Linked DNA regions of Neurospora crassa OR74A. The protein of the gene in region 3 interacts with the protein of the main gene of each other region in a pairwise test. Links are inferred from orthologs where the notes say so. Each region holds a gene or a part of one and is shown on either strand. Other genes may lie near its edges. The genes, in order: NCU06409, NCU03824, NCU07041, NCU00301, NCU03702, NCU09437 and NCU08323.

What was found.
Region 1: the proteins of NCU07041 (region 3) and NCU06409 interact in binary tests that used the Saccharomyces cerevisiae proteins (3 or more experiments, as listed by UniProt). The link is inferred for Neurospora crassa OR74A from reciprocal best matches to the Saccharomyces cerevisiae genes KRR1 and KRI1.
Region 2: the proteins of NCU07041 (region 3) and NCU03824 interact in binary tests that used the Saccharomyces cerevisiae proteins (3 or more experiments, as listed by UniProt). The link is inferred for Neurospora crassa OR74A from reciprocal best matches to the Saccharomyces cerevisiae genes KRR1 and RRP36.
Region 4: the proteins of NCU07041 (region 3) and NCU00301 interact in binary tests that used the Saccharomyces cerevisiae proteins (3 or more experiments, as listed by UniProt). The link is inferred for Neurospora crassa OR74A from reciprocal best matches to the Saccharomyces cerevisiae genes KRR1 and SAS10.
Region 5: the proteins of NCU07041 (region 3) and NCU03702 interact in binary tests that used the Saccharomyces cerevisiae proteins (3 or more experiments, as listed by UniProt). The link is inferred for Neurospora crassa OR74A from reciprocal best matches to the Saccharomyces cerevisiae genes KRR1 and NOP1.
Region 6: the proteins of NCU07041 (region 3) and NCU09437 interact in binary tests that used the Saccharomyces cerevisiae proteins (3 or more experiments, as listed by UniProt). The link is inferred for Neurospora crassa OR74A from reciprocal best matches to the Saccharomyces cerevisiae genes KRR1 and UTP22.
Region 7: the proteins of NCU07041 (region 3) and NCU08323 interact in binary tests that used the Saccharomyces cerevisiae proteins (3 or more experiments, as listed by UniProt). The link is inferred for Neurospora crassa OR74A from reciprocal best matches to the Saccharomyces cerevisiae genes KRR1 and ENP1.

Annotation. Positions count from the first base shown.
Region 1 is NC_026503.1:1,301,258-1,305,427, reverse strand, and holds NCU06409 (ribosome biogenesis protein Kri1), read left to right. Parts: upstream 1-1,370; 5' UTR 1,371-1,479; coding exon 1,480-3,651; 3' UTR 3,652-3,847; downstream 3,848-4,170. Other genes in the region: NCU06410 (GTP-binding protein YPT52), read right to left, coding at 1-537, 598-661, 730-804. UniProt on the Saccharomyces cerevisiae protein: Required for 40S ribosome biogenesis. Involved in nucleolar processing of pre-18S ribosomal RNA.
Region 2 is NC_026505.1:2,530,918-2,534,427, reverse strand, and holds NCU03824 (hypothetical protein), read left to right. Parts: upstream 1-1,413; 5' UTR 1,414-1,588; coding exon 1,589-1,807; intron 1,808-1,952; coding exon 1,953-2,732; 3' UTR 2,733-3,010; downstream 3,011-3,510. Other genes in the region: NCU03825 (hypothetical protein), read right to left, coding at 1-1,054; stk-25 (ABC1 protein), read right to left, coding at 3,072-3,510.
Region 3 is NC_026504.1:4,998,612-5,002,193, forward strand, and holds NCU07041 (90S preribosome/SSU processome component KRR1), read left to right. Parts: upstream 1-1,308; 5' UTR 1,309-1,487; coding exon 1,488-1,742; intron 1,743-1,800; coding exon 1,801-2,150; intron 2,151-2,217; coding exon 2,218-2,575; 3' UTR 2,576-3,082; downstream 3,083-3,582. Other genes in the region: NCU07042 (alcohol dehydrogenase), read left to right, coding at 3,230-3,288, 3,420-3,582. UniProt on the Saccharomyces cerevisiae protein: Required for 40S ribosome biogenesis. Involved in nucleolar processing of pre-18S ribosomal RNA and ribosome assembly. Essential for vegetative growth.
Region 4 is NC_026503.1:3,362,661-3,366,905, reverse strand, and holds NCU00301 (Sas10/Utp3 family protein), read left to right. Parts: upstream 1-1,450; 5' UTR 1,451-1,599; coding exon 1,600-2,994; intron 2,995-3,052; coding exon 3,053-3,541; 3' UTR 3,542-3,745; downstream 3,746-4,245. Other genes in the region: NCU00302 (3-ketodihydrosphingosine reductase tsc-10), read right to left, coding at 1-695, 766-921. UniProt on the Saccharomyces cerevisiae protein: Primarily required at the G2/M phase. Essential for viability: involved in nucleolar processing of pre-18S ribosomal RNA as part of the ribosomal small subunit (SSU) processome.
Region 5 is NC_026505.1:2,139,447-2,143,493, reverse strand, and holds NCU03702 (rRNA methyltransferase NOP1), read left to right. Parts: upstream 1-1,247; 5' UTR 1,248-1,534; coding exon 1,535-1,649; intron 1,650-1,885; coding exon 1,886-1,946; intron 1,947-2,008; coding exon 2,009-2,243; intron 2,244-2,304; coding exon 2,305-2,630; intron 2,631-2,688; coding exon 2,689-2,855; intron 2,856-2,916; coding exon 2,917-2,984; 3' UTR 2,985-3,800; downstream 3,801-4,047. Other genes in the region: NCU03703 (60S ribosomal protein L17), read right to left, coding at 1-107, 200-387, 590-803, 992-994.
Region 6 is NC_026507.1:182,558-186,687, reverse strand, and holds the start of NCU09437 (hypothetical protein), read left to right. Parts: upstream 1-1,330; 5' UTR 1,331-1,415; coding exon 1,416-4,130. UniProt on the Saccharomyces cerevisiae protein: Involved in nucleolar processing of pre-18S ribosomal RNA and ribosome assembly.
Region 7 is NC_026504.1:2,401,819-2,405,899, reverse strand, and holds NCU08323 (bystin), read right to left. Parts: upstream 2,729-4,081; 5' UTR 2,565-2,728; coding exon 1,945-2,564; intron 1,884-1,944; coding exon 1,755-1,883; intron 1,692-1,754; coding exon 1,519-1,691; intron 1,451-1,518; coding exon 1,232-1,450; intron 1,178-1,231; coding exon 1,037-1,177; intron 961-1,036; coding exon 800-960; 3' UTR 501-799; downstream 1-500. Other genes in the region: NCU16789 (hypothetical protein), read right to left, coding at 282-357; NCU08324 (DNA-binding protein HGH1), read left to right, coding at 3,088-3,108, 3,179-3,328, 3,397-3,510, 3,584-4,081. UniProt on the Saccharomyces cerevisiae protein: Required for normal export of the pre-40S particles from the nucleus to the cytoplasm.

The DNA.
Region 1 (4,170 bases), on a different chromosome or scaffold from region 3:
GCGGCCCGTTAAGGTTGACCCTCTGCTCTTCTGTGCGGCTGACACCGGCATGCGAGGCACCAGGCCCACGCGCGCTCTTCAACGACGTCTCGGGGATGGCGTTTGCAATGGCTGTGAAAACCTCAGTAACGTTATGTCCGGTCTTGGCCGAAGTCTCAAAGAACAAGAGACCCTCCTCCTCGGCGTATGCCTTGGCCTCGTCCGTCGAGATCTTGCGTGCGTCGCCCGAATCCTCCGCATTGTCGTCGCCACCTCCGGAAGCCTCGGCAGAGCCGGCCGAGTCGCTGGTCAGATCCAACTTGTTGCCCACGAGCGCGATAACGATGCCGGGAGACGCTTGTCGCTGGAGCTCGGCGACCCAGTGCTTGGCCTTGATGAGTGAAGTAGGTTTCGTCAGGTCGTAAACGACAAGGGCGGCTTGGGCGTTGCGGTAGTACATGGGCGCTAGAGAGGCGAAGCGCTCCTGGCCTGCTGTATCCCAAATCTCGAACTTGATCGTCCTCGTGGGCAGGTTGCACTTCTGGGTTAGGAAGGCGGCTGCAAAAAAGTGTCAGCTAAACTGGTGCAAAGAAAGTCGTCATGACTTCAGGAACTAACCTCCTATCGTGGGCTCCTTGTTCTCTTGAAAGTCATTGTTGACGAATCGGAGGACGAGCGACGACTGTGGAACGATTTGTGTTAGGCATGTGTTTCTCGAGCATGGTGGTTTTGGAGCAGAAGACTGCGCACCTTTCCGACAGCAGCTTCACCTAGAAGCACCAGCTTGACGCTGCTGCTCGGCTTGGGCGCGTTCGTATCGGCCATTGTCGTTGAAGTGTATTGTTGCTACAAATCTGGGTGGATGGGTTGTGGAAACGGCGGGGCTTGCGGCAGCGAGCAACTACAGCAAGGGACAATAGCAAGAACGGCTATCTTTGATAATGCGACAGCGACAGAGCAGTGCAGTTGTGGAAGGGAGGACGTTGGGTGGCTGCCTGTTGGAAGACAAAAGATGTCTGAAGATGGATCGTTGATGGGTTGGGAATCGGAGTGAGGTGTGACGTGATAGGTAGACGGCAGCAATGAGAGTAAATGGATGGATGGAGCTTGTTCATTCAGTTAGTTCCCTTCCAGTCGGAAAGCCAGGCTCGCCGGGATCCAGCAGGCATTCGGTCGGGCCACGGGCAGGCGTCGCATGTCCTCGATGTCCCCCCTCGCTTGCGCTGTGAGTGGACTCCAACTTCCCCTCCATGCCAAGACTCATAGCCACATATGTATGCCTTTGTGAACCGTGCGCAATCTCGTGGCAGGCAAATTGGACTACAAGTACGTACCGCCAGCTGTAGCCCGGGGACTGGACTTCGAAAAGGTCCCCACTAAAAAGTTCACTTCGAAAATTTGGGGGCGTCAAAGTCGCAACGAAAGTCTTCCATCCTTTATGCGCCAGGATTGACTTTCCACCCCTTCGCCCTAGCATCTTCAAATCTAGCCCACCTCAAGATGCCTCGCCCAAAGTCAAAAGCGGCGAAAGCCAGAGTCACAGGCGCCAATACCGATCCCATTGTGCCTAGAAAGGGTCTGTTCGACGATGATGCCTCCAGCGAAGACGAGCAGGACGGCGGTGCCACCCTCGGTACCGCTGCCGACTTGAAGATCAATGAGGAGTACGCCCGCCGTTTTGAACACAACAAGAAGCGCGAGGAACTCCACCGTCTCGAGGAAAAGTTCAAGTCCAAGAAGGAAGGTGGGCTAGGCGAAGACGAGGACGAAGAGGACTCTTCCGAAGACGAGACCGAAGACGATGAGGGCTTCCTTGTCACCGAGGACCTCGACGCCGAAATCAACGCCACTCTAGAAGCTATCAAGAAGAGGGACCCCCGCATCTACGACAAGGAGGCCGTTTTCTACACGCCAATTGACGCCGACGGCCAGCCCGTCAAGGAGAAGAAGGAGAAGCCCATGACCCTGCGCGACTACCACCGCGAGAGGTACATGGCCGGTGACATCGGTGCCGACGAAGATGACGCGCCCAAGCCCAAGACCTATGCCGAGGAACAAGCCAACCTGAAGCAGAACATTCTGTCTGAGATCAATGCCGCTGTCGGCGAAGACGAGGAGTGGAGCGACGACGACGCCTTCATCAAGCCCGTCAAGAAGGAGGAGGCGCCTACCGAGAACGGCGTTCACCCGTCGCGCGCCAAGGCGATCGATCTTAACGAGCTCGACGTCAAGAACGCTGACAAGAACCCCGAGGAGTTCCTTTCCAAATTCATGCAGTCCAAGGCCTGGGCGCCCGCCGACGGCTCGCGCTGGGAGGCTTTCGAGTCGGACGAGGGTGAGGACAACTTCCCCGAGATGGCCGAGGAGTTCGAGCACGCCTACAACATGCGGTTCGAGGACCCCAACAAGAGCAACGAGTTGCTCAAGACGTACTCGCGTAACCTGGCCAACGCCAAGTCCGTCAGAAAGGAGGAGCTCACGGGCAGAAAGAAGCAGAGACAGCTCGAGAAGGAGCGCAAGGAGGCCGAGAAGAAGCAGCGCGAGGAGGAGCGTGCTCGTCTGCGCCGTCTCAAGATTGACGAGGCGGCCGAGAAGCTATCCAAGATCAAGAAGGCTGCCGGTCTCACCGGCAAGGAGCTGTCCGACGAGGAGTGGATGAAGTTCCTCGAGGACGCCTGGGACAACGACCGGTGGGAAGAGGAGATGCGCAAGCAGTTTGGCGAGGAGTACTACGCCGAGGGAGAAGGCGACGTGTCCGGCAGCGACGAGGAGGACGACGAGGACAACGAGGACGGCAAATCCAAGAAGAAGAAGAAGAAGCTGCCCAAGAAGCCCGAGTGGGACGACGATATCGACATCAAGGACATCATCCCCGACTTCGACGACGCTCCCGATGTTGTCCTTTCCGATCTAGACCTCCCCAAGCCCAACGGCGACGACCAAAAAGCCGAAGACGAGGACGCCGACCTCGGCTCCGACCTCTCCGCCGATGAAGATGAAGGCCGTCCCTCCAAGAAGCGCAAGACCACCGCCGACATCAAGAAGGAGAAGCAAGCCGCCAAGCGGGCAGCCAAGGCGGAACTAGCCAAGCTTGAAGCTTTGGTCGACACCAAGATGGAACTCGACACTCCTCGCGCGCTTTCCGCCCCCAAGGACAAGAAGTACAAGGAGAACCTGTTCCCGTTCCGCTACCGCGAGACTTCGCCCGTCTCGTTCGGCATGACGGCGCGCGATATCTTGTTGGCGCCCTCGGACGCCGCGCTCAACGAGTTCGCCGGCCTCAAGAAGCTGGCTACTTTCCGCGACGCCGAGAAGAAGCGCAAGGAACGCAAGAAGCTTGGCAAGAAGGCCCGTCTCAGGCAGTGGCGTCGCGAGACGTTTGGCAAGGAGTTCGAAGCGACTGGTCCTACCTTTGGGTTCGAGGCGCTGGACGAGGATGGTACGCCCCTTGGCAAGAAGGATGAGGGTGCGATTAAGCATAAGAAGAGGGGTGAGAACAAGGACAAGAAGAGTGGCGAGAAGAAGAAAGAGGAGAAGAAGGAAGAGAAGAAGGAGGAGAAGAAGGAGATTGCTGCTGGTGAACGGGGAGCGGATAATATCATCGAGGGAGAGAGGAAAAAGAAGAGGAAGAGAAGCAAGAACAAGAAGGACAGTGAGAAGGCTGAGGCCTAGAGTGCTTCGTTGCCACTTCGGTTGTCAGTATAGTTGGACAAGCAGTGGCGGTCACGTTTGTTTGTTCTGTTTAGGGTTTTGTATCGTTTAGTCTATTTTAGAAGGCGTATTGCATCGCGGTGTTACGGAGAAATCATACAAAGTTAGAATTAGCTATACCAATCCTCGATGCTTCCTCTCATCTCGGAGTTCATCGTCGTCTTCGCTACCTACTCAGTTACTCTGCATGACACTCAGATGGTGTTCAAGTTGTCTTCATGCTTTCCTGAAGAGAAGAGACACTCCCCTTCTCCCCCCTCTCCCCTTCCCCCCGGAGGCGGAGCGCCCGTCCTGTTACTAAAATCCGTCATCGCCACCCTTTCCTCTCTTCTATCCTCTTTTTTTTTTTTTTTTTCTCTTTCTTGTGCACTTTCGACCTTCCTAACATCTGGCCCTGTCTTCCAGTTGTTACTCTGTTGGCCACTACAACCAACTCCAGCCTCTTCTCATATTGTTGGCCACTTTGGCAGAATAATCAGG
Region 2 (3,510 bases), on a different chromosome or scaffold from region 3:
TGGGCGGATGAGAGGGCCTGGAGGTGGGCGGTATTTGCTGTTGCTGGCTATGGTGGTTGTTGATGTTATTGTTGTTGTTATTGTTGTACTGTCCTCGTCTTCCTCCTCGTGAGTAAGGTCCAGGACTCCTGGGGCGATAAAAGTCTGGGTGTGTGTTGTTGGTGTAGGTGTTGTTGTTGTTGCTATTGCTGTATTGTCTTACTCGTGAGTAGGGTCCGGGACTCCTGGAGCGATAGCAACCAGCGGGCTGAGGGACCTGAGGCCTGTTGTTGTTGTTGTTGTTGTTGTTGTTGGTGTTGGTATGGTAACTTCGTGTTCCTGCTCCCGAGTAGAACGGCGGCAGAGGTTGTTGCCAATGCGGTATGGTCGTTCCTGGGGCGAAGGTGTTGAGATGAGTAGGAGGGATGAAGCCATAGCCCATATTTGGGGGCGGCGCATATCCCATGCCATATTGCTCTTGCCGAGGATAGTGCTGTTGGTTTTGGTATTGGTATTGTTGTTGTTGTTGCTGCTGCTGAACAAACTCCCCCTGCCATATTGGCGGGTAACCCGGCTGGTAGCCGAAGTGATTGTGATCCATTTGGTCCACTGTTTGCTGTATTTGTGCCTTAAGACCGTCTTGAGGCTGTTGTTGTTGTCGTTGTAGTTTGTCCTGCTGCTGACCCAGCCTTTGACACCTTCTTTGCTCCTGCGTTTCGTTTCCGTTTTTGCTGCCCCTTTGACCCTTTCCAGCGGAAGCCACTCTGCCCTGTTCTCCAGCCGCCTGGTGAGACGGTTCTGAGGGGCCTGGTAATGTCTCGTTTGATTGTGCGGTTCCCTTCTTAGCCAGGTGTTGTACGCCAAACACAGAGCACAGTTTATCCGCCTCAAAACTGTCTTCAGCCGTATGAATGCACCTCGTCGAAGGTTGGTTGGCCAAGAACGGTTTGTATGTGTTGAAATATTTATTGCGAGGCAAGTAAGGCAATAATGGTGTAGTTGGCAATAGTTGCCAGTCCTTTGTGAGACGAAAGCGACCTGGTGTGTTGAATATTCGTAATCTGTTCATCATCATCCTTGAGATAAAAAGACGAGGCCGGTGCAAAAAGGTGCCGCTACGGACCACTTGGCTCCAAGGTGCTTGAAGTCGGCCCGGCTCGCATTCAGCTGTAGGCCACAGCTGTTGAGGAAGATGTGCGGTAATAAATATCCAATAAGCCGTGTTCCTGGACCTCCAAACAACTCAGTGAATGAGATGTCACACTTTTATCAAGAAGTGATGTTGTACGCCTGTTTGCGGCCTCTGTGCTTTTCAGGGGACGGGCAAAATATCGGTTAGGAATCTAGCCAATCATACATTGAGAAAACCCGTCAAAGCGGGGCAATGTTGCTTCACTCGCAGGCGGCAGAACTTTCAACGCCAATTCGACAACCAACTACATACACATATCCATGTGACTTCACTCATACCTTTTCTTCACCCGCTGCTGTTTGTTCCCTCGTAAAAGGGTAACCATCTCAAATCAAACGCACAACAAAGTTGTCACTGCCACCAGAGACAGGATAGAACTTATAAAGGACGAAATTGTGGACCCGAAAAGAGTAAGAAATGCCTGCGGTCAAGCGAAAAGCTGCCCCTACGCTGGGTGCTAAGCTCCAGAGACGTGTTCGTCCGAGATTTGAAGCCGAGCCCGACTCGGATGTGGAGGGGAGCTCAGATGAGGCCCCTAGTGAGGAAGAAGGCGGCGGCTTTCACACAGGCAGCGACACCGAGGAGGAGGAGGAGGATGAAGAGATTGAGGAGGGCAGTGAACCAGGCAGTGACGATGTAAGGGTTTTTGTTTTTTTTCTGTTTTCTTCAAATGGGCACAAAAAAACAATACTATCATTTTTTTTTTTAAAAAAAAAAAAAAAAAAAAAAAAAAAAAAAAAAAAAAAAAAAAAAAAAAACTACGACTAATGCTCAATAACAGGACTCCGACGCACCCTCAGAGCACGGCGGCGCCGGCATCGACGCCTCGCAGCTCTCATTCGGTGCTCTCGCCCGAGCCCAAGCCTCTCTCGGCGCACTGAAGAAAAAGAAGAAGAAGAAGGGCGGCGATGAGGACGGCTCCGATGACGATGAAGAGAAAGAAGAGCCCAACTGGAAGACCGAGATCGAAAAGGGCATGAAGGCCAAGGTCGAGAAGCACCACCGCACCAACAAGCACGCGCCCGTCGAGACGACCTCCAAAAAACCCGTTTCTCGGCGTCGCGACTTTCTCGCCAACGAGCCCGCCAAGCCCAAATCCCGGGACCCACGGTTCGCGCCCCCCGGCATCGGCGGCAGCTCCGGTAAAAGCGTAGTAGATGAGATCAAGGCGCGCAAAGCCTACTCGTTCCTGGACGACTACCAGGAGGACGAGATGAAGCAGCTGCGGATGGCCATCAAGAAGACGAAAGATGCCAACGAAAAGGAGGAGCTGCAGCGGGCGCTCCTGTCGATGGAGAGCAAGAAGAAGGCGCGCGCCCGCAAGGATAAGGAGCGCGAGCTGTTGTCGGAGCACAAGAAGAAGGAGAAGGAGCTCATCAAGCAGGGCAAGACGCCCTTCTACTTGAAGAAGTCAGAGCAGAAGAAGCAGTTGCTTGTGGAGCAGTTCGCGAGCATGAAGAAGAGCCAGGTCGATAAGGCGATTGAGCGCAAGAGGAAGAAGATTGCAGGCAAGGAGAAGAAGGCGTTGCCGTTGGCGAGACGGACGGCTGAGGATAGGTAAACGAAGGGGAAGAGTGGATTATTGCTTGCTTGAAACACTGGGGGTATACTATAAATGGCTGCATGGGAGACATACCTAGGTATCAAGGACTGATAGATGAAGCAGGCGCGCAAAAGGTTGGAATGGTAATATTCACAAATATTGTTACAAATCACCCCACAAGTGCTGGCTATGCTTTTTGAGGTGATCTTACTCGGTAGATTCCCTATAACAGAGAACATTCGGCCGAGATGTACAGGAAAGAAGAAAGAATCACTTGCAGAAACTCTGGTCTAACCCTCCAAATCTATCCCTACCAGCCCGACTTCCAGCCACAGTAGTATCATACATACACCTCACTCACTTCTTCCCGAAATACTCCGTCTTCTCCAAAGCCTTCTCAAACATCTCCCTACACCTGACCCTACTCCCCAGCCTCGCGCACAACAAAAACGCCCCACTGAGCTTCCTGTGCAAGCTATACGTCTCTTCCGGCGGCGGTGCCAGCCTCTCATGGATCATGACGGGGATCTGCGCTTTGACCCTCTCCGTAATCGTCTGATCTCTGAAATCATACACTTCCGGCGCACTCTGCAGGAACGGCTCAGCCAGTGTAACGACACTAGTGATATGCGCCTCCAGCATCGCTCTACTCTCATGACCCGTCAGATACCCCAGCTCTTCAGAGAGGGACTTGACCGCGGGGCGATCACCCCGCGACGCGGCTTCGAGCAGGCGGATATACAGCGAGATGAACTCCTCCGGGTATTCTCGGCTAGCGCCAAAGTCGAGCAGCTCC
Region 3 (3,582 bases):
GACCGTGGGCCCGTGACCGGGATTGCCAACTTCGGGATCGAGACTGCGCAGGCGGAGGGAGGTGCGGGTGTGTGGTGGTCGAGGTCAACGTCCCAGAAATGACGTCTGTGCTTATGATGAATTCGATTTGTTTCTTTTCCTTTTCTCTTCTTCTCAAGGATAGACAACGACAATTGCCGTCGATCTTGGCAAAGGTCACAAGAAGCAGCGATACCTGAAGGTCTTGGGGTTCGGGATAAAGACCGACGCCAGGGATACGAAGGGGAAATCGAAGGGAGTAGTGTAGAATGTCGCGGGGCCGAAGAAGAAAAAGAAGGGGAAGATGTTGCAGGGACGGAAGGAGTTCTGATTCTTGGCGACACAAAACCGAACCTACCCCTTTCTGACGGAAAACGTTGATGGATTTCGAAACCTCGTGCACGGAATGCTGTAATCCGTGGCGTACCACAGTGCAGATTGTGCTTGCCCGATCATGATGACCACAGCGCGCCAGGGTCGTCAGATCTTTGCAGGTTCTCATTGGGCGAACCTGGGATGATTTCTTGGTTCTTCAGCTGGAAAACCAACGACGAACGTTATCCAGCCTTACCGCGACTTTATCACGGCGAACCTGAAAATTGCTGCTGTTAAGTTCGTCAACTTTGACTCGGGCGGGATTCGATGCTTCACCATCAATTACTTCAGCGTATCTTGAACACCTTGGTGAGATTTTACCGACGGTACAGGTGTCAACAATGGCCCTGCTGGGAGTATACAAATCACGTTGAGACCCCAGCAAGTCAAAACGCTCTTGTCGCCAATCCCACCATGGCATATCAAGACCTTTTGATGTCGCCAGCACGTGTGATTTCTTGTTGATGTTCCGTGCCGTGCCGTGCAAGCCCCTGTCATGATAAGCTAGTATGTAGATAAGATAACATCTACAACCTGGGGGGAAAAAACAGCTGAAAGGAGCAGATGGCCAAGAGTACTTGGATAGACTCGTTGCGAAGTACAGCAGGACAGTAATGACAGAACCAAACTTCCACCTCGCTGAGATTTGAAATAACTGAATCCGGTCGTTTTCTTATATTTGCTCCTTTTTTATGCTGTTGTCGTCCTCAATGAAAATACCAGGTTCCAAAAGTTACAACTTCCATGCAAGTGGAAGTTCCAGTTATCAGATAAGGAGCTGCCCCTGCATCTGCCAGCTGGCCGCTGATCCTGTCGCGCTTCTGCAGCCGGAACTCAACCTGCAAGAAGCGCCGCGCCCCCACTCTTACCAGCTGCGGCAGGCTTGTGTTCCAAAAATTTCCATCCGTGCAGCGCGATTCGGCTGGCCATCTTGCCATACAATCCCTTCAACAAGCCATTTATCAAATCCAACCACCAGACCCAAGTCGCTCGCCCTGATATCGTGACCTGTCGCACAACCTCAATCGAGACCTCTGATTATTCATAAACATCAACAGCCCACAAGAGCCCCGAGAAACACATTTACAGCCAAAATGCCGTCCACACACAAGAAGGAGAAGCCGTGGGATACAGACGACATCGACAAGTGGAAGGTCGACCCTTTCACCAAGGACGAATCCTCCGGCCCCTTCCTCGAGGAGTCTTCGTTTATGACCCTATTCCCCAAGTACCGCGAGCGTTATCTACGAGACTCGTGGCCACTCATCACCAAGGCCCTCGACAAGCACGGCATCACCGCAGTTCTCGATTTGGTGGAGGGTTCCATGACAGTGAAGACGACAAGAAAGGTACGGCGGATGCGTTTGTTGTCTTTATAGTCACCACTCTTTGCTAACTCACGTCCAGACATATGACCCCGCAGCTATTCTTAACGCCCGCGATCTCATCAAGTTGCTCGCCCGTTCAGTACCAGCCCCACAAGCGATCAAAATTCTCGAAGATGGCATGGCCTGCGACATCATCAAGATCCGCAGCATGGTACGGAACAAGGAGCGTTTTGTTAAGAGGCGCCAAAGAATTCTCGGACAGAACGGCACAACGCTCAAGGCTCTCGAGCTTCTCACACAAACATATATCCTCGTGCACGGAAACACAGTGTCGGTAATGGGTCCTTTCAAGGGTCTGAAGGAGGTGAGGAGGGTTGTTGAGGACACCATGAACAACGTTCACCCAATTTACATGATTAAGGAGTTGATGTAAGTTTTGCGCCTGCACGCCCACTTGCGACGCCCCACAACAACAATAACTGACATGAGAAAACAGGATCAAACGCGAACTCGCAAAGGACCCCGCTCTTGCCCACGAAGACTGGTCTCGTTACCTCCCCAACTTCAAGAAGCGCACGCTTTCCAAGCGCCGCGTCCCCCACGTCGTCAACGACAAGACCAAGAAGAACTATACACCCTTCCCCCCTGCGCCCGAGAAGAGCAAGGTGGATCTCCAGATCGAGTCCGGCGAATACTTTCTCGGCAAGGAGGCCAAGCAGCGGGTGGCGGAGCAGGAGCGCGCAGAGAAGGCCAAGCAGAAGAAGGAGGAGAAGAAGCGCGAGCGCGAGAAGGAGTATGTGCCGCCCGAGGAGTTGACGGACAAGAAGGCCAAGAAGAGGAAGACGAGCGACTAAGCTGGTACAAGTGGTGCAATCCAAAATATGGGGGCGGTGGAGGTGGAAATGGAGTTGAGGAAGACGATGATGAAGAGAAAGAGAAAGGATCCTGGAATCCCATGATACCCATACTTCAGCAGACGATTGAGATTTCTCCTGCTTCGGGATCCAAGGGTGATCTGGTTGCTAAATTTCACCAAAAGCCTTTGTCAAATGTGTTATCAAAAACAATGACTTGTCCAGAAAAGATGTCGGTTCTTGAATCTGTCGACATTTCGAAACCCAAGGCCGAAACAAAACCCGATGACGATCGCGAATAAAGCCCGATGTGGCAGACCCGCACCACAACCGGGCTGCTCCACCCCGGCGGATCGCAAACCAGGGGCATCACAAGGCGGGCCGAGGCAGTTGCATCATTGGAGCGGGATCCGGCAACGAATGCGGGGGAGAGTGGGGGCGGCCATTGGTCGGTGGCAGGGTTGGTGGGAGAGGCTCAATGACAGAGTGACAACACCCCTTTCCCCGGGTCCAATTGATAACAAATCTGGCCGATGTCGCAACTGATTTAAACTTGATGACCCTTTCCTTCTTTCACTTCTTGAACATACTTCAACACTCATCCAGTGGATTGGCCTCGGTAAAACACAACCCACACATAAACACAACGCCAAGATGCCTCTCCAACTCACTGTCAAGAAAATTGACGGTAAACCCGGCCAGGTTTACTACCCGTAAGTGTTTTGTTCTTCCTCTTCACATAACCTCACCTTTCTTCTCCCCCATACATATCCCCATCACCACCACCAACCAACTCACTCCCACCATCCTCCCCGCATGACTAACCCTCGGCCTCCCCATCTAGCCTCCAACTAAACACCATCCCCAAACCAACCCCCGGCCCCGGCGAGCTTCTCATCCGCCTCCGGTCCTGCGCCCTCAACCACCGCGACCTCTTCATCCGCCAACACCTCTACCCCGGCATCTCCTTCGAGCAACCTTTTCTCGCTGACGGCTACGGCGTCGTC
Region 4 (4,245 bases), on a different chromosome or scaffold from region 3:
GCTACCGTATCCGGGCTTTCCGCTGGCTCGTCCTTTTCCAGCTCCACCGTGATGTCCGGCTTCGTCTGATTTTCCCTCTCGTAGCCCGGTGATACAATCGTGCCGGGATACACAATGTGCACCTTGACCGGGTTATCTGGGTAGTAATTGACCTCCATCGCCAGGGTATCCGCCAGTCCTCTCAGCGCCCATTTGGTTGGGGTGTACGGGCCATAGCCCAAAATCGCAAAAAGCGCCAACATTGACGCGGTAAATACCAAGTGCTTCGGCTCTCCGTTGGGTCCCGTGCTGTTTTCGGGTGCCAGCCACTCCCTCAAAATCGCCCGCGACATCTCCGCCGACCCAAAGTAGTTGACGTCCATGTTGCGGCGTGCGGCCGCCATGCTGCCATCGTCGGTCCACAGCAGAGGCGTCGACATGCCGGCCACGCACCAGACGATGTCCGGGGAGCGCCCGCCATTCCAGGCGATAGCTTCGGCGAGGACCGCGGCGGCGTAGTCGTGCTCGGAAACGTCGGCTGAGATGTAAGTGAAGCGTTGTGTGGACGGGTTCTTGGCGGCGGCGCGGACGTCGACGAGGGCTTCTTCAAGGCGCCCGACGTTGCGCGAGACGAGGATGACATTGGCGCCCTTTTGCGAAAGTTGGATGGCCGCTGAGCGGCCCATGCCTTCGGAGGCGCCGGTTAGGAGGACGGTCTGGTAACAGGGGTTGAGTTAGTGTTGTTTGGAGGTCGGGTCAGGTCGGGTGAGGCTTCGGGGCGCATACCCGGCCCTCGACTGGCATGTGGTTTTTGGAGCTGAAGAGACCCATTGTAGCAAATATGCCAATGGCCGCGACGACGGCTGCAACTGGGAGAGACCAGGAGGTGCTGAGGGTTTTCAATTGTTCCATCAGCGACTCTGAGAAGAGATAATGGTTCATCCTTCCTTGGATCGTGAAAGAAGATCGGGCTCGAGGAAAGTGGAATTGTTGACGCGGCGGCGCCTAAGCTATTCTGTATACGTCTAGAGTACGAACGAGTACCTCTACGGCGTAAATTTAGTGGATGCTGTCAGCAGTTCCCGTCGTACTGGAGCTTACACCCCTGTCTGTAAGTGACTTGTTGATGGGTGATGATTCGACCGATTTCTTCGCACTCCGTAGGAAAATGAGGTTTCTGGAACCATTTGCTGGAGTTTGCGTTTTCGAGTCTTCAGAAGCGGTTTTCTCTACTGTCATAACTGAACCCATTGAGGTCATGTCAACGTAAATCTGGCAGGCCTGGGGGGCATCTTGGAGCTTCCCGTCGACCCTGAGGACGGGATGGAAGCTTTGACCATTTCAGATGTAACTGTGGAGCATCTTCAATTGTGGGGTTAGGCAGCCTGCATGAGAGTGGAGCTGGGCGGTCGAGGTTCCGCTGAGAATGGATCGCAAATTGACAAGAGCAAAAAAATTCTGCCGCTTCAACATTTGTTGCCCGCCTAGCGAACGAACCCACCAGCCCATTCAACGAGCATCTCCAAGTGCCTTTTGGCAGCGTCTTCACGTCAACGTTTCTCAGTCGCGCCAAACTCCATCCAACACGCCTGAATAGATAACCGCGACACAAACGCAAAAATGGCGAAGAAGAGAAAAGCCCCGAGACCGACCGGTCCCGCCGAGCCTCGCGAGGTCGATGCCAAGGACGCCCGCCTTACCGTTAAGACTTACAAAGATGTCGCCAACTCCGAAGACGAATACTGGGAGAACCAGGATCGCATCGACTTTGACGACAGCGATGATGGCAGACAATCCAAGCGCAGGCGCCAAGACAAGGAGGAGGAGTTCCTAGAGGCTTCTGACGAGGAGGTTTTCGAGGAGGACGAATCCGATGAGGAGAGCGAACACGAAGACGCCGCGCCCGCGAAGGGCAAGAAGGTCAAGACAACAGTACTTTCCGACGAAGAGATGGGTGGTGAAGAGGAGGAAGAAGGTGACGAAGGATGGTGGGGTTCCTCCAGAAAGGACTACTACAATGCCGACCAGATCGAGACCGAGGCCGATGCCTTGGAGGAAGAGGCTGAGGCAAAGAGGCTCCAGGCCAAGAAGTTGGCCAAAATGTCCGAGGCCGATTTCGCGTTTGACGAGAGCGAATGGCTAGGAACCAAGGAGGAGGCCGAGGGAGAGGAGGATGTCATTACCGAGAAACTCAACGAGATCGAAGTCACAGAGGACATGGGGCCGGAAGAAAGATACAAGCTTCTACAGAGCCGATATCCCGAGTTTGACTACCTGGCGCAGGAGTTTAGGGAGCTGCAGCCGATTCTCACAACTCTTCAAAAAGAGGCCGAGGGCAAGCCTGCCAAGTCTCTGGAGATGGTCAAGTTCTGGACTCTTGGGTGTTACATCGCTTCACTCGCCAGTTATTTCGCTATCCTGACTTCGCCAGCAAGAGACAGCCAAGGTGTGTCCAAGACGATCAGCCCTACGGAACTCAGGGACCACGAGGTTATGGGCACGTTAATGAGCTGTCGCGAGGCCTGGCTTAAGGTCAAGGAACTCAAGCCGCTCAAGAGCGTCTCCTCGACCAGCGGCATGCTTTCGCCACCCGAAGATGAGGGCGAGTATGATGACCTGTCTGACGACGATATGGAGGACTTCAAGAAGATGCTCAAGAAGAGCAAGCGCGAATCCAAGGCTGAGCTCAAGGCCAAGGCGAAGAAGGAGGCCGAGAAGGCCAAGAAGGCCAGGGCTGTCGAGCAGTCTCTTGCCGATCTCTCCAGTTTGCTTGAAACCACCAAGACGGCAACCAAGGCCAGCAAGAAGTCTGTCAAGGTCGACAAGCGCGATGACGATGAGCGCTCCGACTTTGGTGACGAGGAGATCCTTGAAGCTCACGTGGCCAAGGAGAAGGCTGCTCGCAAGAAGAGTCTCAAATTCTACACCTCCCAGATTGTGTCCAAGTCCGCCAAGCGTGCGGATGCGGGTCGCAACGCCGGTGGTGATGACGATCTTCCCTACCGTGAGAGATTTGTAAGTCGGCCATTGCCTAAAAAACATGCCGTGTTGTCATATACTGACTTTTGCGCAGAGAGACAGGCAAGCACGGCTCAACGCCGAGGCCGAGAAGCGCGGCAAGAAAGACAGCAAGCACGGCGCCGTGCTGGGCGAGGGCGACAGCGACGACGAGGACAAGGCCGTTGCCAAGCAGGTGCGCGGAGAGGAGGACGAGTACTACGACATGGTGGCGCACAACGCGGCCAAGAAGAAGGAGGACAAGGCGGCCAAGTACGAGGCTTTGGCGGCTGCCAAGGGCGCCCGGGTCGTGGAGGAGACGACGATCGGCCCCGACGGCAAGCGCCAAATCAACTACCAGATCCAGAAGAACAAGGGCCTCACGCCGCATCGCAAGAAGGAGAACCGCAACCCGCGTGTCAAGAAGAGGATGAAGTACGCGGAGAAGCAGAAGAAGCTCAAGAGCGTCAAGGCCGTGTACAAGGGCGGCGAGGGCAAGGGCGGGTACCAGGGAGAACTGTCGGGTATCAAGACCGGCTTGGTCAAGAGTATCAAGCTTTCTTGATAGGGCTCTGGTTGTCGTGGTTGTTGGACTGGTTTGTAGTACTCTGGGTATATCATGCATGTATAGATTTTTGGGTTGTTGATAATCATGGCCTCAACGGAAATGGAAAAAAGCAGGCTTGCACACACAATGGCATTGTATTTCTTGAACACACTTGATACCTCTTCAAGATCTACAATATCTACAATGTCCAGTATTCTCAACACCGGAGGTCGCCGGTACTCGCACCCTGTTCAATCGTGTTAGTACAGGTTCATGGTAAACCCCGGGTCTGAGAATAGGGCTATATAAGAATCCCTCTCATTTTTTTTCTTTTTCTTTTCCATCCCAATTTTTAGTTCCTCTTCGTTTCTGTGCCCTTCCCTGGCATTTCTTGTGTGCCAGATTCCGAAAGAGCGAAGGCGATGTTGACTTGGAAAGGATACAAGGCCTGCGAGGGAGCCAATAGGAGCTCTGAGACGAATCAATGCAAATGCCCAAATCTCAACTTTGGATAAATGTAACACCACCACATGATAAATTATTAGATTGGGCAGTTTCTGAACAAACACAACATCCTAAACCGAACACTTCAATTTCGTTATCTTCAGTACAGGTATCTTCAACACGGATCGTTCAAGAAGTAGAGGTAATTTTTGGGATGAAACACTGGAATGTTAGAGCAATGATTAGGACATGCCACATTATTTTTTTCCAGTCCACCA
Region 5 (4,047 bases), on a different chromosome or scaffold from region 3:
GAAAGGTGAGCCTCCTCGCGGACAACGGCCTCGGACTTCTGGACGACCTCATCGGCCTCAGTGAGGATGAGCTCGATGTGGCAGGGGTTGGACATGTAGGGGTTGATCTAAAACATAACTGTTAGCCAATGACCGGCTTGATCGTCTATCTGCCGGCGCAGAAGCAGAAATCAGGGGGGTATCTCCGGGTTTGACGTACGCGACCGTGAGCGCGGTAAGTGCGGCGGCGCTGCTTGGGGGCCTGGTTGACCTGGATGTGCTTGACAACGAGGTTGCCAGTGTCAAGACCCTTGGCATCGGCGTTGGCCTCAGCGTTCTTGAGGAGACCGAGAAGGAACTCGGCGGACTTGGCGGGCCAGCGGGCGCGGGAAACACCGAACTGCTTGCCTATATGACGAAGAAACGGTCAGCACCGTGTCTTCTATGTCCTCCATTCGATTGCGGTTTCGTGTCGGTCGGTCGCGGTTCCATCATGCTGACAATGCCCCCCTATTCCCCCGCCACTTTGTCCTCCCCACTGTCGTCGTCGTCGTCGCATGATGTACCGGTTCGGGTGTGTTTGTGCATGTAAATATCGAGTAAGTCGTACCTTGGGCGGCGCGGCCGGTGCCACCAGCGTAGCGTCTCATGGGGACAGCCTCCTTCTTCTCAAGAACGTTCTCGAGGAACTTCTGAGCACGCTGGAGCTTCCAGCCATTGATGGCCTGGGCGGTCTCACGGGTGTTCTTGAAGGAGACACGGAGGTAAGAGCCGCGCGAGCGGGCGGACTTAGCCGGGGCAATCTCAGTCGCAGCGTACCGAACCTGCGATTTTGAACAAGACTCGGTCAGCGATTCCCTCTCCTCCAAGTGCTCGCAATGCTCGCAAAGCCGTCATTGTCGTCCGTTGAGACTTTCGTCGTCATTTCGGCTGCAGAAGCCCGAAAACTGTCCTGAAGCAAAATAACGGCGGCGATTCTCTCGTTCGGCGGATTTCGCAGGGATTTACTCACCATCTTGCCTGCTTGTCGATGAGAGGACGGGGAATCGACCAAGTGTGATGTTCAGAGGTGGTGATGGGTTCCAATTTTGGCGTACAAAAACCGATTTTCGCGATTAGGGCTCTGTGGGCACTGCGCAGGTGGCTCGTGCGGACCGTCACTTTGCCTGAGGCACGTGCACGCGGGGACAGTAAGTGCTAGCGCCGATAACAGCCTGCCTCCTGGACTGCCGGCCGTGCACGATAGCATCCGCAACAAACTGGAGAGCCTCGACCGCCACGCCAGGACGACAGCCAATTGCAAAGGCAGAAGGCCTCGACCGGAAAAAAAAGTGCTCCAGCGATGAGACTTCGTGCCCCGCTTTTTTTTCTTTCAATCCATGTCCAGGAAATTTTGCACCCAGCTCCAGCAAAAGCTCTTTTCCGAGTCCTCGACAGCGCCGCGCGACAACTCTAAACCCATTGTGCCTCGCACGACTGATCTTACAACGCGTTTCGGCCCAGAATCGCAACTCATACCGACTCCGACTTATCAATACCGACACATTCTATAAAAATGGGCTTCGAGCGTGGTGGCAGAGGCGGCGCCCGTGGCGGTGGTCGTGGTGGATTCGGTGGTGATCGTGGTGGCAGAGGCGGCGCCCGTGGCGGTAGCCGTGGTGGCTTCGGTGGTGAGTTTGGCCTCAATGCCATCGCCTGAATGGTCTTTGCGGTTATGTCGTTGCTTCTGTTCGTCATCTTGAGAGATGTCTCTGCGTCTGCTGCGGCCCGTGGTCGCCATGCATGCCTCTTGACTTCTCGTAGTAGGATGGCGATTTCAGTCGAACTTCATATCGCAACTCGACTCAACATGCGATGGCAACAGCAACCACATTAACGCAACACTTTACTGACAATGACTTAACAGGCGGCCGTGGTGGTGGTGCTCCCCGTGGTCGTGGCGGTCCTCGCGGTGGTGGCCGTGGCGGGTACGTCTTGTGTTCAAAACCCTTGATTACTCCAAAGACATTGACTGACATTATGAGTATAGTGCTACCCGTGGTCGCGGTGGTGCCCGCGGTGGCGCCAAGGGTGGTGCTGCTGGCAAGAAGGTCATCGTCGAGCCTCACCGTCACAAGGGCGTCTTCGTCGCTCGTGGTGGTAAGGAGGATCTCCTCGCTACCGTCAACCTTGTCCCTGGCGAGTCCGTCTATGGCGAGAAGAGAATCTCTGTCGAGAACGCCTCTAAGGAGGAAGGTGGTGCTTCCACCAAGACTGAGTACCGCGTACGTTTTCCAGGCTTTCCAGCTTGTGGCCTCAGACAAAGACTAACATTGGACTTTGCAGATTTGGAACCCTTTCCGTTCGAAGCTTGCTGCCGGTATCCTCGGTGGTCTTGAAACCATCTATATGAAGCCTGGTTCCAAGGTCCTCTACCTCGGTGCTGCCTCCGGTACCTCGGTCTCTCACGTTGCCGATATCGTCGGTCCTACTGGTTCCGTTTACGCCGTCGAGTTCTCTCACCGTTCCGGCCGTGACCTCATCAACATGGCTACTCGCCGCACCAACGTCATCCCCATCGTTGAGGATGCCCGTAAGCCCATGGCTTACCGCATGCTGCTCCCCATGGTCGATGTCATCTTCGCCGATGTTGCCCAGCCCGATCAGGCCAGGTAAGCCGACTTATACAGATCCTTGACACTGTATGTGCCTGACACTAACACATTTCAGAATTGTCGGCATCAACGCCAAGCTCTTCTTGAAGCAGGGTGGTGGTCTTCTCATCTCTATCAAGGCTTCTTGCATTGACTCCACTGCTCCTCCCGAGCAGGTCTTCGCCTCTGAGGTCCAGAAGCTCCGTGAGGACAAGTTTTTCCCCAAGGAGCAGTTGACTCTTGGTACGTCCATCCGCTTCCCTTTTGGTTGATAGAGCCAACAATAACTAACAATCACCCACAGAGCCTTACGAGCGTGACCACGCCATGGTTTCTTGCGTCTACCAGCAGAAGGAGTTCGTCGATAACTGAGTTTCGAATTAGTACTGTTCTATCTTCGTTGCTCTGTTCTGGAACCTTCACATAATTCGGTGTTCTACTGGCAGGATGGTTTTGTAAATCTGGAACGGCGAATGGCGTTTGGGTATCTGCCTTGTTTTAGCATTGTGGGAATAAAGCACCAGGGTTCTTAGACTGATATCCGGAGTGACCCCGGTTGCTTCCATCTTACGCCGCCTTTCACGATCTCGTCACGACTCCTAAGTCACCGCGCAACGAACCTCCTGTTCACCAGCGAAATTGGCCAGCCTACAACACATCAAGAACGATCACCAGTCAATCACCCTAAGAACGAGAAGGGCGCTGGATAGTCAAGCAGAGGTTGCTTTTATCGGCGCTTAAAATGCTCGACAGCTTGGTTCGTCTTTATGGCGTTTGAAATCTGCGAACTGAGAGTCCCTCCCCTTTCATCAGGGTATCACGTCGAAAACTGAGACTATTCTGGCCATTCGAGTTTCAAAGGAGATTGTTTGGGCCTGGGGACGCAAGGGTACTGCAAGCCAGTCATTACATGGCTTTGAGGATTATTTAAACATGCCTAGAGTCTATCCAGGATCAAGAGGATGCTGGGCCGTTGGTTTCGCTTGTTGATGAGCAAATTTGAGCTTGCTTAGTCCTATAGATTTACATATCAGAGTTTTGGGTCATCTTTGCTCCTTATCATCGGCCTTGTCGGCGGTCTTGTTACTTCTTGAGCTTATTGTTTGTTGCTTTATTCGATGCTGGATATGCTCTGATCTATGATTTGCATGCTATCTAGCTCTTCGATATCTCACCCCATTGCCTCTACACCTTCCCCGTACTAAGCGCTCTTGCACCGCTGAAAATCTTATCTTCTTGGCTCGTTTGCTTGCGGCGTTGATCAGAGCTGACAAAGTAACTCAGGCGACAACATATCCCGGGACGAGACGCGCAGCGTTAATGGAGAGTACGGACAGTGTAAGTGTGATCCGTTACCGGGTACTAAGCCAAAGTACCTCTACAACTTGTGGCCCAAGCCAGGCTAAAGGATATATAATTACTATGGTCCCGGGGA
Region 6 (4,130 bases), on a different chromosome or scaffold from region 3:
TTAAATTTCGTACTTATCGTAAGTTCCGGGCTCAATAGAATATAAGTATAATCGCCGCATTAAATTTAGTCCCAAATATCCCAGTTCTATATATAAATTAATAAAGGTACTTAAGATTCGTAAAAAAGGGCAGAATACTTACTTTTAAAGTCACATCTTTATTTACCTATACTAGCTTTAAATCTAGCACTTTAGTAATAATATTATTATATTAACTTTCTCCAAACTTAATTAACAGTATAATCTATATTGTAATTTTATTATATAAAGCTAAAAATATATATAGGACAATACTTTTTCCGTAGCCCATTACTGCGACTAATATTATATCCTTCTATTCGTACGCCAACCGTACTACCGCCTTAACCTAGCCTTTTCGAGGGTCTTTACTATTACTAATAATATCTTTTATTACCCGCAATATACGCTAGGGGTCAACGGAGGGATCGAAATTAGGATCTATAGTATTAATACCTATAGAGGATAGAAAAAATTAAGGAAAAAAAATAACGTACTATAGAGTAAAGAAAACTATACTACTATATTAATAGTCGTATAATATCTATACCTACAAAGTTTTATAGTATTGGGATAAAAAGCCGTACTGTAATATATAGCTAACTAGGCATTGAATATACGGACTTACGTAAAGTTTTTACATTTTCTATAATAATTAATACTTTCAATAGTCGTAGAAAAAAATTAATAATACCATTAAATCCGTCTCAACGAACTCTTTCTCCTCATATCTTTTGTATAACCTAAATCTATTGTTTTATTTTAACGCTATATTATCTTTCTTAGAAGTTTATCAATATAAATTCCCCTATCCGCTTCTAGTCTAATTGGGAATTCAAACCTCTTTTTTAGGCGTTCTTATTCAATACCGGAAAGTATACTAAAAGAATGGGTACACGGATCACAATTTAGAAACTTTAGTAACTTTCAATTTATTATTTTTTTTGAGAACCCCGGGCGCGCAGCGCACGGGCCAGATGTGCGCGCAGCGCACTTTCCCAGCGGCCGCAGGCCGCCCATGCCTAAAAAAGAGGGTCTGATTCTGAGATAAGGGCCGGGCGCTCACTGTCTGTCAGTTGAACCCCACAGGGGCAACCAACCAACATTGCCCCACCCGACTGCCCCTGTCGGGTCTTCCACTGCCCCTGTTTGTGGATTGACCTCTTATCTCTTATCGGAGCTCCAGAGTCTCAAAAAATTTGGGAATTCCCGTCGCAAACTTGAACGAGACTCGAATTTGCAGAACTTCAATTGGAGGGACGACGCTCGGTCCACTGTTGTTTGGCTTTCAGTGCTCTCTCTCTCAGTGTCTTGTCACTATCAATTTCCTGTCTCCATTCCCAGGACATCCTCCTCCACCATCACCATCATATACCTATACCACCGCCACACATACAATGGAACCCGGATCAGCAAAACGACGCAAGATTGGCCATTCACGCGGCGGTGAAAGCGCAGTTGGCAACATCGACGCCGCTGCCTCCTCGGGTCTCTCGCGTGGCCGCGCATTCATCCTCGAAGCCGAAGAACTCGTCGACGAAGTGAAGCTCGACTATGCCACGGCCCTCGAAGGCGTCGACTCCCTCCTCCACAAGATCAAGGGCTCCATCGAAGCCATCGAAGCCCACGATGCCCTCCAGATCGCCGAGGCTGCCACCAAACTCGAAAAGAAACACAAGATCCCGATCCCGTTCCCCGAGCCGCGCCCGTCCGACAAGTCCAACTACAAGGTCGCCTTCGCAAAGCCTTCCCAGTTCAACGTTGTCGGCAGCTATGTGTCCAAGACCATGATCAAGGCCCAAAAGAGCCATGCTGTGGATATGGTGGTTGTGATCCCCGGCGAGACTCTGCAAGAGAAGGACTACCTCGACCTGCGATACTTTTACAAGAGAGCCTACTTCCTCGGTGTTGTGGCTGCTGCCCTACAAAAGGACCTGGCTGATGATGGAGAGCTTTCATACGAATACCTGAATGGGAACACCCTGTCCCCCATTTTGTCGTTGAAACCAAAGGTGGAAGGAGAAAAAAAGGAGGGCCAGCTGGACTACAGAGTGCGCATCATCCCTTGCGCCCCAGACAACTTCTTCCCCAAATCAAAGCTTCACTTGGGCGCTACCCTCGTGCGCAAAGCTGGCGGTGACGAGTCCAAGGCCGCGACCAAGCCTACGCCCTTCTACAACTCGACGATTGTTTCCGAGTCCTGCTTCTTTCCCTACTTGAAGCTCTTGCGACAAACCGAAAAGAAATGCGCCGCGTTCAAGAAGGCTTGCATCCTGGGTCGGGTGTGGTTGCAACAACGAGGACTGGGAAGCGATATGGCGGACGGTGGTTTTGGTCACTTTGAATGGGCGGTACTTTTGGCCCTTCTGCTCCAAAGCGGCGACAGCACCAAGGGACATGCGCCCTTGTCTACATCCCTGAGCGCCACCCAGTTGTTCAAGGCCATGGTCCAGTTCTTGTCTGTTACTAACCTGTCCGAGAAGCCGTGTGTTTTGGGAACTGCCACCGTCGAGTCCGAAACCACTGGTCCGGTTCTCTTCGACGCTGTTCGTGGTTTGAACGTTGCCTTCAAGATGAGCAACTGGTCTGCGGCCAAGCTACACCAACACGCCAAGTGGACAAGGAGCCTTCTCAACGACAGCACTGCCGACCAGTTTACCCCTACCTTCATCCTCAAGGCCGACCTCCCCTGGCAAAACTACGACCTCATTGCCCACCTCAACTACGATGGAAAGCAGGACAAGACAGAACCGATTGACTGCCGGGGACGGCTATGGGAATACAGCGACAAGGTGCACAGGGTTCTCAAGCGGGCTCTTCAGGACGAAGAACTAGGTGAAAGGGCTCGGTCGATTCACATTCAACTACCCAAGAGCTCATCCTGGGATCTCACCAAGAAACCCTCCACCAAGCAGAACCACACAATCGAGATTGGTGTCCTCTTCAATGCCGCCAACATGACCCGCTCTGTCGACCGCGGTCCGGCCGCTGGACCTAGCAACGAGGAGAAGGAGGAATGCGCCAAGTTCCAGCGGTTCTGGGGTGAGAAATCGGAACTTCGTCGGTTCGAGGGTGATTCTATCAGGGAGACCTTGATCTGGTCGTCCACCTCCCCCTTTGACCTCTGCGAGGAAATTATGCGCTACATCCTCAAGCTCCATCTTCGCGTTGGCTACCTCGAGGACGAGCTCACCTTCCACGGCGATGGCTTCACCGAGTTGATTCCTATCAAGCCGACCGACACCTCCGTCTTCAACGCCGCTCGCAAGGCCTTTTCCTCCTTCGAGAAGGATATCCGCGACTTGGACGACATGCCGCTGCACGTCAGGCAAATAGCCCCCATCTGCCCCGAACTGCGACACGCCTCCGTCAAGGTGCCCTTCTCGACCGTCAACAAATCCGGCCCACGCCCCCTGGAATGCGTCATCTCCTTTGAAGCCTCCGGCAAGTGGCCCGAATCCATCGTGGCCATCCAACGCACCAAGATCGCCTTCCTGCGCATGATCGGCGACCTCCTGGAGCGTTCCAAGCCCGGCGAGGTCCGCTCTTACGTCGGTCTCGAGTCCTCTACCACCACCAACACGGAACTCGAGAACCTCGCCTACCTCGACATCGTCTACGAGTCCGGTCCTGCCTTCCGCCTGCGCATCCACTCTGACCTCGAAGAGGCCCTCCTCACGCGCCAATCGCACGACAAGACCATCGACCAACACCACCGCCACCAAGCCTCCGTGCTCCTCTCCAACTTCCGCAGACTCTACTACCACCTCCCTCTGCACACTCAATCCATCAACACCTTCGCCACCCGCTTCCCCGCCTTCTCGCCCACCGTCCGCCTGCTCAAACACTGGTTCTCCTCACACAAACTCGCCTCCCACTTCACCCCCGACTTCATTGAACTCGTCGCCCTCCAGACTTTCTTGAGCCCCTACCCCTGGGACGCACCCTCCTCCCCTTCCGTCGGCCTTCTCCGCGCCCTCCTCTTCGTCAGCAGATGGGACTGGCGCTCCGAGCCGCTCATCGTCGACACCAACAGCGACATGCCATCGTCCGAACGCTCCGCCATCGCCACCCGTCTCGAAGCCTGGCGCAAGATCGATCCGCTCATGAAC
Region 7 (4,081 bases), about 2.6 Mb from region 3:
AGGTGGTGTCGGGATTCTTAGGCGAAACGCCAGAAAGCAGCGCCGAAAATCCTGATCTTGCGGAAATACTGAGTAGAACTTGGTGTCTCGGGGTAAGAAAGCAATCTCAAGAATAAATAGGGAAACGAGAGGGGCGGAGTGCTTAGAATGTTCGGGTTGACCGGGTGTTAGGAAGAGAACACTAGAAACTCGTATGGTAAAAGCACCTAATACGGGATGATGCCATCAGATACACGAGATATCGAAGTAGGCGAGAGCTACATTGCCTTCTTTCCCTTTACACTGTTCTCTCAGGATTCCGACAACGTGGCAGAGGATCGCGGTTGCCTTGGACTTGGAAAAATGGGAGAAGGGCATTCCAAGCCAGATTGACGCAACAAAGAAGTCAAAAGGCAGCTTCCTTCACATAACTGAAAATGATTATTCCAAGGCTCCTCGACAATTCCTGTTGCTGTACCGGGTATCTTGAATTTATAATTTCGTGCACTAAAGCATTACAGGTCGTCAACAATTATGTTGCTGGTTGGTCAGCACCACTAAGATACAAAGGGTAGTACATGGTGACTGACTTGGCATGACCACTTCCTCTTCAAGCGGCGTGATGAGTAGTAGCCACTGTCGAGGCGTGACATAGTATTATCAAAGGGGTCAATGTCTAAGGACTGCCCCAAGCCACCAAGGTCACTAAACAACACGACTCCCATCTCTATGCGCGTACCAGGTAAAAATGAGCCACATGTCCTCGTTGCATACCAAGGGTTCATCGTCTATAAGTCATTACCGGATCACCGATGTTTCTTCAAGCGTCCAGCATCGTGTCATCGCCATCAAATCCGGGTTGCGCGACAGGGACACCACCTCCGCGACCTGCGAGAAGTTCTCGCCTGATCTCGGGCGAAATCTTGTCATGGCCGTGAGTTAGGAGAAGATCCAGGAGAGCCTCTCGCTGGTCCTCAGTAACTACACAAAGACCGCGGTTAGTACTCAAAAATAATAGGGACGCATAGTGAAACAGCGACGGAAGAAGCAAACTCACTGTTCGTCTTGTATCTCTGTGCAAATGAGAGCATGCACTGATGGAAGATGACTGGTAAAGCGTTGGGTGCCATATGCCCGCCGGTGGCGAAAGCGGGATACCGAAGAAAGTGGAAGACGAGGGCATCGAGCGCTTGGAAGGCTGTATTACAAAGTCAGAGAATACAATCATTGGCACGCTAGGAATTGGACTTACGCAAGGCGTGACGTTTCTCAATCAGAGTCTTGAGGAGGAAATTCGTAGCGCTAACGCAGTCGAGGCGCTGAGAAGCCTGCGCAGAAGAAATTTCGCACAAGCCCTTAATGGCCATACCGGAATGAACAGCCGGAATGGTGACCCGGGTCAAAACACCGGCTACGATCTGCGCCTCACGCAGCGAGCACGTTCCGGAAGCCGCCAAAGGAAACAAGAAGCCTGCCAACGGTTAGCTGGGTTGTCCCTTTTGAGCAAACCTGACTAAGCGTAGGCAGTAAATAACACACCTTTGAAGAAACCACCAGGCTTGTAGAGGGCCTTTTTTAGGGAGTTGAAAAGATGGACATTGAGCTTCTTGGTCTCGTGAATGTCCTCGCGGACGCGTTCTAAGATCACCATCTCCATAAACCGTTGAAGAACAGCCTCCTTGGCGGACGCAAATATCCTGGTGGCCGCGTAGCTAACAATCGCAAATGTCAGCAGCGTTTCTCTGGCTCCCGAAAACAGGAAGAAGCAACCATACCAGGCATTGGGAGTCCAGGACTCGGGTTGTGTAATGGGCAAGATGTCCTCCCAGTGGGGGATCTGAGGAAGGACCTTGAAAGGCTTGGGAAGCGGCCCAGATTTGTAGCGAGAAAGAATCATGCCAATTCTGCGAGAAGGAGTCTGTCAGTAGTCTGCCAAGAGGGTAACAGAAATAACGGCCAGCCTACTTCTCAAACACTTCCATCACCTTTGGGGGGATCTCGTAATCCTCATCAATTGGGCCAGGCTCGTCGCGGTACCCGCCTTGGGGGCCGCCGGCTTCCTTCTCTGCGATCTTGGCAAGAATAAGGTCCGCCAGGTTCACGCTCTGACCCTGCTCTTCTGCCCCTTCTGGCTTTCCATCCCATCCGTGTGTTAGGAGCGGGTCCTCGTTCATTGTGGGTGTGATAAACTGGTTGAATGTCTCGAGATCGGTGGCGTCGACTTCGATTTCCTCTACCTCCTCCTCCTCTTCCTCGCCCCAGGCCTCGTCGTTCTCAAACTTGTCGTCTTCGTCATCGTTGCGGTCGAATCTCGATGGATCGAACTCGAACGCCGAAGGAGCAGATCCGGAGGCTGCGTTTTGTGTTGTCCGGAGGTTCTCCTCCTCCTCGATGAGGCTACGGCTCATAGCCAAAATGTTGCGCGAAGCCTTGGCGTCGACATACTTTTGCTCATCTTCGTCGTTGGCGGCGCGAGTGTTCTTGCTCTTTTTGCCGGAGTTGTTCTTAAGGACGCCGGTAGAAACGAGGTCGGCCTCGAGGGGGTTGTGGCGCCTCTTCGACGTCGCCGCTGTTGTCTTGGGCATCTTGAATGGCGGTAGGGTTGTGCAATCGGGGGAAGAGTTGATGATACGGAGCTCTCCTGGTTGTCCCCTCTCTTTGCGATGTCGACTTGGCTGCACACGGCAATTGGGGATATTTTTTTCGGCGACCCTTGGACAATTTGTTCCCGCCGTGGAGAAGTCTGGGCACTTGAAAGGCTTGCGCTACGCTTGTGGTTGGTCACTTCTTTGCTGTGTGGGCACACTTTATTTTCTGATGCCAGGGCGGTGAAAATGATAAGCGGTACAATACCTCTTATCGCTTATCGTCTAGCTTGGACGCGCCCGGCGGAGCAGCGATAAACATTTTATTGCCCCGCATTTTCGTCACTGTGCCCCTCTTCGGTTGCAAATTCCTGGAATTTTGTTCCCTGTGTTTACAGTTTTTGCAGCTTGGCCCACTGCATGAATAAGAGCAAGGGAAGTCGCGACATCATAGCCTCGCTCGCCACGGTTACGAGCTTATAGCAAGTCCAATACAACCATACATCCAGCTACCATTGATAACATGCCGACCGAACTTGAAGAGGTAATTCTGCCAGAACCAGTGCAGTGTCAATGTCAGTGGACAGACAACTAATCGCTATAATCGCCTGAAGCTCGTGGGCTTCATTGCCTCGCCGAACGCCAACATCCGCCTTCTCGCGACAGAGAACCTGGTGCCCTTCTCAGCGTCTCAGCCCGCCCTCTTCAAGACCGACGAGCTCACCCCCATCAAGCATCTCAAGTTCTTGATCCGCGACCACCCGGTAGGCCCAACAGACTTGTCTTGTTTGCGCCCAAGCAGCTTCAGCTAAGACGTCGGTACCATGTGCAGAAAATCGCCGAGCACGCCCTAACATGCTTGATCAACTTGACTGCCGAGAAGGATGTGCTGGAATACGTCGCGACCGATGATCGCTTCCTTGGAATCCTCCTCGGGCTTCTTGTCGTATGTGTATCCATTCTGAGCTCCTACGGTGCGTGCGCAGCAAGGACTAACCGCTTCGATCCCGTTCCTATAGGAGCCCGAGGAGGTTAACGCCAATCTTATGGCTATGTTGCTGGCAAACTTGACCAAGTGGGATGGACTCAAAAGTCTTCTAGACCGGAAACAGCCCGCTCCAGAGAAGCTCAAGTCCGACGATAGGGTCATTAACCAACTAATGGACCTCTTCGTCAAGGGCGCCGACGGGACTTACAACAAGCACGCCGATTACGACTACCTCTCCTACGTCTTTGCCGACCTTTCGAAACATGAAGAGATCCGGCACTACTTTGTCAACAGACAGGACTACGACGATGTTATTCCAATCAACAAGATCAAGGTCTTTACCGAACACAAGTCCGATATCAGGCGAAAGGGAGTGGCGAGCATTATCAAGAACGCTGCTTTTGACATTCCTTCGCACCCGGCGTTTTTGGATGAGGATGACGTCAATATCTTACCCTACATTTTACTTCCTATCATGGGCGGCGAAGTTTATCCCGAGGATGAGGCATTGGAAATGCTTACCGATCTT